Linked DNA regions of Canis lupus familiaris. The protein of the gene in region 2 binds, or shares a complex with, the protein of the main gene of each other region. Links are inferred from orthologs where the notes say so. Each region holds a gene or a part of one and is shown on either strand. Other genes may lie near its edges.

What was found. The genes of interacting proteins can lie anywhere in the genome.
Region 1: the proteins of NUP58 (region 2) and NUP54 are in contact, whole or in part, in a crystal structure (PDB 4JO7), measured with the Homo sapiens proteins. The link is inferred for Canis lupus familiaris from reciprocal best matches to the Homo sapiens genes NUP58 and NUP54. Residues at the interface, in NP_054808.1 of Homo sapiens: Pro342, Tyr345, Phe346, Leu349, Val350, Phe353, Gln356, Leu357, Tyr360, Gln363, Ile364, Leu367, Leu371, Gln374, Ser378, Ile392, Tyr393, Phe396, Leu399, Ala400, Leu403, Ile406, His407, Val410, Lys414, Tyr417, Tyr420, Arg421; in NP_059122.2 of Homo sapiens: Tyr453, Leu459, Glu462, His466, Leu467, Gln469, Gln470, Gln471, Gly473, Leu474, His476, Leu477, Ile478, Ile480, Ile481, Asp484, Leu485, Ile488, Lys489, Leu490, Val491.

The regions. Positions count from the first base shown.
Region 1 is NC_049253.1:39,406,943-39,411,030, forward strand, and holds the start of NUP54 (nucleoporin p54), read left to right. Parts: upstream 1-1,276; 5' UTR 1,277-1,395; coding exon 1,396-1,462; intron 1,463-2,075; coding exon 2,076-2,237; intron 2,238-4,088. UniProt on the Homo sapiens protein: Component of the nuclear pore complex, a complex required for the trafficking across the nuclear membrane.
Region 2 is NC_049246.1:14,201,932-14,205,569, reverse strand, and holds part of NUP58 (nucleoporin p58/p45), read left to right. Parts: intron 1-734; coding exon 735-759; intron 760-1,821; coding exon 1,822-1,887; intron 1,888-2,206; coding exon 2,207-2,381; intron 2,382-3,638. UniProt on the Homo sapiens protein: Component of the nuclear pore complex, a complex required for the trafficking across the nuclear membrane.

The sequences.
Region 1 (4,088 bases), on a different chromosome or scaffold from region 2:
TCCTTTTCTTTTCAATGATTGATGTACAACAGTGGGATGTCTTTTCTCTCACGAGAGGTGAAGTGTCCAAATTACAAAATACTGCAGGCGAAAGTCTGCAAAAAAATCAATGTGATGCAGCATTTATTCTGAGATATCAACAATAAATTCTTTTTGAAAATCATTATTACTTTATTATTAATAAATTATCGTTACATTATTTTGCAATAATGATGATTATTATTATTTCTTGCAATAATGATTATTAATACGACTCATTTGAGAGAGCAGGAGATAAACACCTTCCCCTGCTGGTTTCTAGCTCGTTACCGCCCTTGTCCTTAGGAGGACGGTGCAGAGAGATCAACACTTGGGCATGGATCGCAGATGCCAGTGTCGACATCTTCCATCATCTCGAGAAAATTTTCAGTACCGTACAGTCAAAAAATCAATTTCAAATACACCTGTGCGTGTCTTAAAAACAAAAAAAATGCATTTATAAACAAGAATAGGAAAAATGCTAGGCCAGTACTGCCCGGAAGAGGAGCCGGCGTCAGGGAGACGCTTGGAGGCCTTCAGCGGGGTCGGGGCGTCCTTCCACCTCGGAGCGGAACGTCAAGTCTTTTTTTTAAATTTTTATTTATTAATTTTTATTTATTTATGATAGTCACACACAGAGAGAGACAGAGAGAGAGGCAGAGACACAGGCAGAGGGAGAAGCAGGCTCCACGCAGGGAGCCCGACTGGGACTGGATCCCGGGTCTCCAGGGTCGCGCCCAACCGCTGCCCCGCAGGGATCCCACGTCAAGTCGTCACTGAGATGCACGCCCGGCCTGCAAGACGCAAAAAGCCAAGACAGTCCAAGCAGAGGGGCCACCCGACTCACCGCAGTCCGGGGCTGGAGTCCGCTCCTCGGCACCCGCTGCCCCGAGGCCGCCGCTGGCGGAGGAGGGCGCGCACGGTGGGGCCTGTCCCTGCCCACGTGCCGACTCCCAGACGACTCGGGGCGGTAGAACACGGGAAAGAGGCCGCTTCGGGGTCCTCGTGAGCTCCGGCGTGACAGTGGGCTCCGCGCTGCGGAGACGGGGATCGCGGCCTCCCGCCCGGTCCCCGCCACACGCCCGTCAGCAGCGGAGCCCGCCTCCGCCCGGGCCCTCCCTGAGGCGCTGAGCCCGGGGCCCGCGGCACCGCCGCGACGTCACGCCCTGCGCCGCGGGACGCGCTCAGGCCCCGGAAGCGGGCGGACCCGGCGCGCTCCCGCCAGGCCCCGCCCCTGCGCTTCCGGCGTTCGGGCTTCCGAGGCGCGGCCAGAAAAGGGCCGGAACTCGGTGAGCCGGAGGCGGCTCTCGGCGGGACTGAAGAGCGGCGCGCACCGAGGGTCGTGGGGGCGGCGCCTGCGTCCCCTGCTCGCGCGACATGGCCTTCAACTTCGGGGCTCCCTCGGGCACCTCTGGCACCGCCGCGGCCCCCGCGGCCCCCGCGGGTGAGTGGTCCTCCCGGGAAGGAGGGGCGGCCCCCGGTGCAGCCCCCCGGCCCGAGCCTGTGCGGCCCGGAGACCCTGGGGGTGTCCTGGCTGCTTGGGGACTCCGGGGGCTCCGGGCCAGGGGCCGCGGCTGAGCGGGCCCGGGCGGCTCCTGAGGAGGCCGCGGGGGTTCCGAGGCCCAGCCCGTGGCTCCCCGCACAGCGTCGCCCTCCCGGGGTCCGCTTCCCGCCGCCGGGGGCCCTCCGGAGGCCAGACGGCGGCTCCGCGCTCCCGCTGCCGGACGGCGGCCCGGCTCTCCCCGCCCGAGCCCCCGGGGCCCCGAGGTCCGGTTGGGGCTGGCGGGTCGGGGCTGCGCGGCGGCCGCTCGGGGCGGGCCCTTGGGTCGGGGCTGCGGGACCTCGCGCTCGGGCTCCTCCCTCCCGTCCCCGCCTCCACCTCCGCTTTCTTAACCCGCTGGAGCTAAGTCGAGGTTTGTCCTCGTTCGCTTCTGTGAGACCTGCTGACTCTTCTAACCCTTGTCTTGCTTTCTTTTCCTTTTCTTTTCTTTTCTCTTTTCTTTTTCTCCCCCCTCCCCCGTTTTAAAATTTTGTTTCTGTGCCTACACGCCGATCAGGATTTGGTGGGCTTGAGACTGCCAACTCCACCGCCAGTGGGTTTAATTTTGGGGGTTTCGGATTAACTGCTAATCCTGCAGTGAACTTTAATATTGGGAATTTCGGTGTTTCTACTACCTCGGCGACTCCGTTCAATTTTGGTAACAGTCTGGCAAGTGCAGGTAGATACTGCGGGTCGTACGTGTGACGATGTTGGGAGCCGGAGTCCAAGAATATTTCGCAGCTCCGAGTTTTCGGAAGAGCAGCGACATGCCTAAAGGGGAAAGGACGTTCATTCATTCCCTAGAGTCGAATCAAAAACGTTTGCATCTAGCTCCGACTGTCTTAAAAGATTTGGTTTTTAGAAGCCTTGCAAGTTGTGATGTTCCTTTGTTGAACTTGCATTCGATCCGACAGAATATACCTTCCAAGTGGTAAGAATCTGGAACGGATTATTTGAAGTAGAATATGTTTTCCAAATTGTTTATCTTATCTCTTACAAAACAGAAACTCACCAGTCAGGCTCTTTTCTCTGGGATTCTTGGACTCCTGCAGTCATTTTTTTTTTTTTTTCCCCCATCTTTCCTGCATCTTTCATTGCAATTTCATTCGACTGTCTTTGTGTTTCCCAAGAGAAACAAGTCTTATACGAACAGCAACATCCTGTATTTTTAAAATGTGTTTAGCAACAACAATGTATTCCTTTGGTCCACTCGGCAGATTAGGATGCATTTCTGTAAGATATGTAATTTTAAAGAGTCTTGGTTTTTTACAGGATTTTTTTGAGAAATAAGTAGAGCAGTTTAATTTGTCAGATAGCATGGAGGCTAGTAGGTAGGCTAGACATATTTGTATTAAATAATGATGAAGATTTTAGTACCTATATGGATTGAAGCTCATTGGAAATTTGCAAAGCACAGACTATAATGTGTTTATATGTATATATAAATTTAAAATAGGTCTGTGTATTTTACATAGTTATCCTATAGAAAAGTCTTGTTCCTCTGCTGCTCGTATATGAATATATTGTCCATATTCTCTTGCATTATGCCACTTATACCCATGCCAATTATATGCATTTTGTAAACATTATTTATTCCCTAAAATTTATTTGGAAAGTCTGGTATTTGTGCAGTATTTGTTAGAGCAGTACGAATATCACCTCGGCATCTGATTTGAAATGTTTTGAAGAATACGTTTGAATTCCAAAGATAAAACAGTCCTTGTCGTTAAGGTATATTTAAAGTGATCGTGTATCACTGTCATTTACTGTCATGCACATTTATTTTTCCGTTTGCTTAAAATTGGCACTGGGTAAAACAGCTGTATTTTGAAATTTGTGTTTCTGAATAAAGCCACCCAGCTTGTAATTCAACAACAATAAATAAACTTATTGGTATTTGCTTGATTTCATGTTCATTTGGAGTTATCACTGTTAAGTGTTGAGTTGTGATAATATAACTGTATTTTAACCACTTCTATGTATGTTCAGTAACTGAACCTTCAGCAAAGGGATGATAGAAATTCTTATTTTTTTTATTTTTTTTAAAGTCTTGTTTATTTTGTATCTTAACAGATTCACTACTACATTTTTGGTATTAGGAACCATGATAAGCTACTAATATTGTGTAGCCAAATCAGAATATATCATAGTTATTCTATGTAAGGGAAGATAATGAAAAAGATTGAGAGCAGTGTTTTATACTTTTAGTTGATTTTTTTTTTTTTTTTTAGTCCAAATGTTTACAGTTTGCAGTACTGCAATAGAACCTACAAGAAAATAGCCTATTTGGTTATGTCTACAGTATGCAGTCTATTCTTGAGTAATTTTCCAAATCAAAATTATATGGTGAATATCAAAAGGTTGAGGTTTTTTCTTTCTTATATCCTTTATGTAACATGAATCTATCTCTTAAACTAGAAATATAGGAAATTAGAAGTTAGAATTGTGAAAAACTGTGGCATAATGCAGCACTAATGGTTCAGACTTTTTTTTTTTTTTTTTAAGATTTATTTATTTATTCATGATAGAC
Region 2 (3,638 bases):
AGTCCTGCATTGGGCCCCCCACAGGGAGTCTGCTTCTCCCTCTGCCTATGTCTCTGCCTCTCTTTCTGTGTCTCTCATGAATAAATAAATAAAATCTTAAAAAAAATGTGTGTATAAGTGCAGAAATAGGTTGTAAGAGGATCATTGAAATTTTCTGGTGGGATGAAATTTTGTGTGTTCCTGTATTTTCTTAATTAAGCAGGTTTTATTTTGTAACATGAAATACATTTTTGAAAAGCAGAAAGTGAATCACTGCATTTTGCTGATGGAGCATTTTTACTTTTCTACTTTTAGATATATACTATTAATGAACTATTAAACAGATGTTAGAAAGTTGATATATCTACACACATTAAAAACTTCAACTTTAAAAAAATTGCTTTTGTTAAATATTTAGAGACATCCAGTAATCTGACATCTTTTAGTGTTCTAAACTGATAGAGAACCTCACTCTGAACAGTTAAACTGCGCTACACAAGAATATTTTTCATCAGAGAGTTGAAAGAGGAAGATTCTTGCCCTTGAAAGAAATAGATACAAATCAGCTATGTAATTATCTATATGTACACAAACATATCTCCATGACATCATGACCTCACATATATGTAAGAGGCAGTCTAAGAAATACTTAGCAGTTTTTATATTTATACCTTAGTTTGTATTAAATTAAAACTTGAATTGGGAGTACATTGTTAAATGACCTGTTTTTACATGAAACTTCTTAAATTTTCTAGGTGATAAAACAGGAACAAGACCAGAGTAAGTTTACAATTTAACTTTTAAAACATTTTCATTGAAGAATTTTATATATTAAATTATAGGCAAATGGTATGGTTGTAAGTAAATGAAACTTTATAGTCATTTAGAAGAAAAAATATTTGAATCAGTTTTTGTCTAAACTAAAATAAACATAAGCTCTGGAAAGATTTTGGAAGGTTAAATCTGTAGTTTTTAATCGTTAGGAAAATTTATAACCAGTTCTTTCTAGAATGTTTTCTACCTAATTTTACATATATATACCTTTTATAAATAACTATACTAGTACCATTTATTTTCTGATGATGGAGAAAAAGCCTCCATATACATCATATGTGTAAAGATCACTATTTTTACTACTACTTATATTTTCTCACCTAATTTATATTACATTAAATACAACATATATAAATAAATGATCCAGTTCATACCTCCAAAACAACTTGTTTAACTCTATTATATGAATGAGGAAGCTGGAAGAGACTGAGGTTTGCCAAGTAGCAAATCTGTGACTGAAATTTATTTCATAATTACATTACAACATGTCAAGTTTCACTTATTCCTATCTCATTAAATATTTATGATTCTGTTAAGCTATTCCTAGGTTTCATTTTGTTGAACAAATTGAATTTATTAAAATAAAGTAAAATATAGTGAGCATCTTGTTACAAGAAATTTTATAGACCTTCTTTAATGAATGCTTTGATTTTTTTAACTAAATATGTCAGTCATAGAATTTTTGAGATGGGGGAACTTAGTTCAATATTAGTCTAATGTGCTGTATTTTCTAAGTTTTTCCTTAAACATTTGGTCAGATGCATTTATGTGTACTTGTGATAGATGCCAGTCTTTTAGAAAAACATCTCCCTCTCAGATGAATTGTTAAAGTTATTTTAAAGGTCAGGAAATAGAGGGTTTTCTAATAAAGAGCTTTGAAATCACCTAAGAAAGCTATACATGGGGAATATTTGCTTTATTTTCTTTTCAACATATGCTCTAGTGAAACTCAGCTGTCAGCTTTTTATACTGTTAATGCCTTTAATACATCTGTGGCTTTTTTCTTAGGGATAGTAAAGCACTGAAGGATGAAAATCTACCTCCTGTCATCTGCCAGGATGTTGAAAATCTCCAGTAAGTGTGAAATATAATTAGATAAGTCATATTGAAGAATAGTAGAATATATTTTAGGGGGAAAATCGCTTCTTCCTCTTAAATATTTTAAGTTGGATAAAAATTTCAATATTCCTATAAACTCAAGAGAAAACAGAATAACAGGAATTAAAATTTTGTTACTGTCATTCTGAAAAAAGCATGTGAACCGTAGATGGATTTTTAATATTTCCTTCTGAAACACTAGGACTCTGACCAACCTATCATAAATGTACTTTTTTCCTGTGGGAAACCAATGGTGTATTTTTTTCTTAAAGTTCAATTTTATGTATCTTTTTAGGAAATTTGTGAAGGAGCAAAAACAGGTACAAGAAGAAATTAGTAGAATGTCTTCAAAAGCCATGCTTAAAGTACAAGAAGATATTAAAGCTCTGAAGCAGCTTCTGTCACTGGCTGCCAGTGGATTACAGAGAAACACCCTCAATATTGACAAGTTGAAAATAGAAACTGCTCAGGTAAACTAACTTAGAATAATTTTATCATAGAGTTTCATTTTGTTTTGTTTTATTCAAGTGGAAATCAGTCTTTTGTCAATTATAAGACAATACAGATAATGCTGTAAGAAAACTGTATAGCTTGTGTAGTTTTAAGTTGCTGTAATAGTAATAGTTACTGGTTTGTATTGAGTGCTTACTATTTATGAGGCAGTATTTTAAACAATTTATATTTATTAGTCCAGTTAATAGACTAATAGCTGTCCTGAAAACAGCTCTATGAAGTAGGCACTCTTTTCTTTGTTATATAAATAAGAAAATGGGCAGAGAACTTTGTTAGTAAATGGAAGAGCTTGGATTCAGACCCTGGTAATCCAGCTCTAGAGTTGATGCTCTTAACTGGTTTGCTTCCTAAAAGTGCTTGTTGGCTAAATTGCTATATTACACAAGCTAGGCAGAAAAAGAGGTTTTTAAAATCTCTCAGCAATTAAATAAAAACTGTTTTGTGCTTTATAAATATTAAGTTCTGATGACTTGCTGGTATTAGATCTTAGTTAAAAATGTTAATGAGGCTCATGTTTTTTGTCACTTATGTCTGTTTTTTTTTGTTTCCATTATGGTATAATATATGTATAATATATAGTTTTAATCTACATTGTTGGGAAAGAATGATGGTAGAAGATTTATTTTTGTTTTGTGTTTCACAATTATAAAATATACTTGATCTGATCATGGCAGGTTAGAAATCTTTCCTTAAGTTTCCCTTCATCTGTTAATGAACTATGTGATATACCTTTTTCTTGTTTAAAGGTTTTAGTTATTTATTCATGAGAGTCACAGAGAGAGAGGCAGTGACATAGGCAGAAGGAGAAGCAGGTTCCATGCAGGGAGCCGGATGTGGGACTTGATCCCAGGACTCCAGGATCACACCCTGAGCTGAAGGCAGACACTTAACCACTGAGCCACCCAGGAGTCCCTGTGATATACCTTATTAAAGATATATTTGTTTATTTTAGAGAGAGAGAGAGAGATAGCACCAGTGGGAGAGAAGAGGCAGAGGCAGAGGGAGACAGAGAGAGAATCTCCAGCAGACTCCACACTCAGCAGGGAGCCCAATGCAGGGCTCTTTGTCTTGACTCTGAGGTCTTGACCTGAGCCAAAACCAAGAGTTGGGCACTTAACGAACTGTGCCACCTAGGCACTTCTATGATATATGCCTTTTTAAAACATGGGCTTATGAGAGTGCTATGCTCTTCATAAATGAAGTGATAATAATTT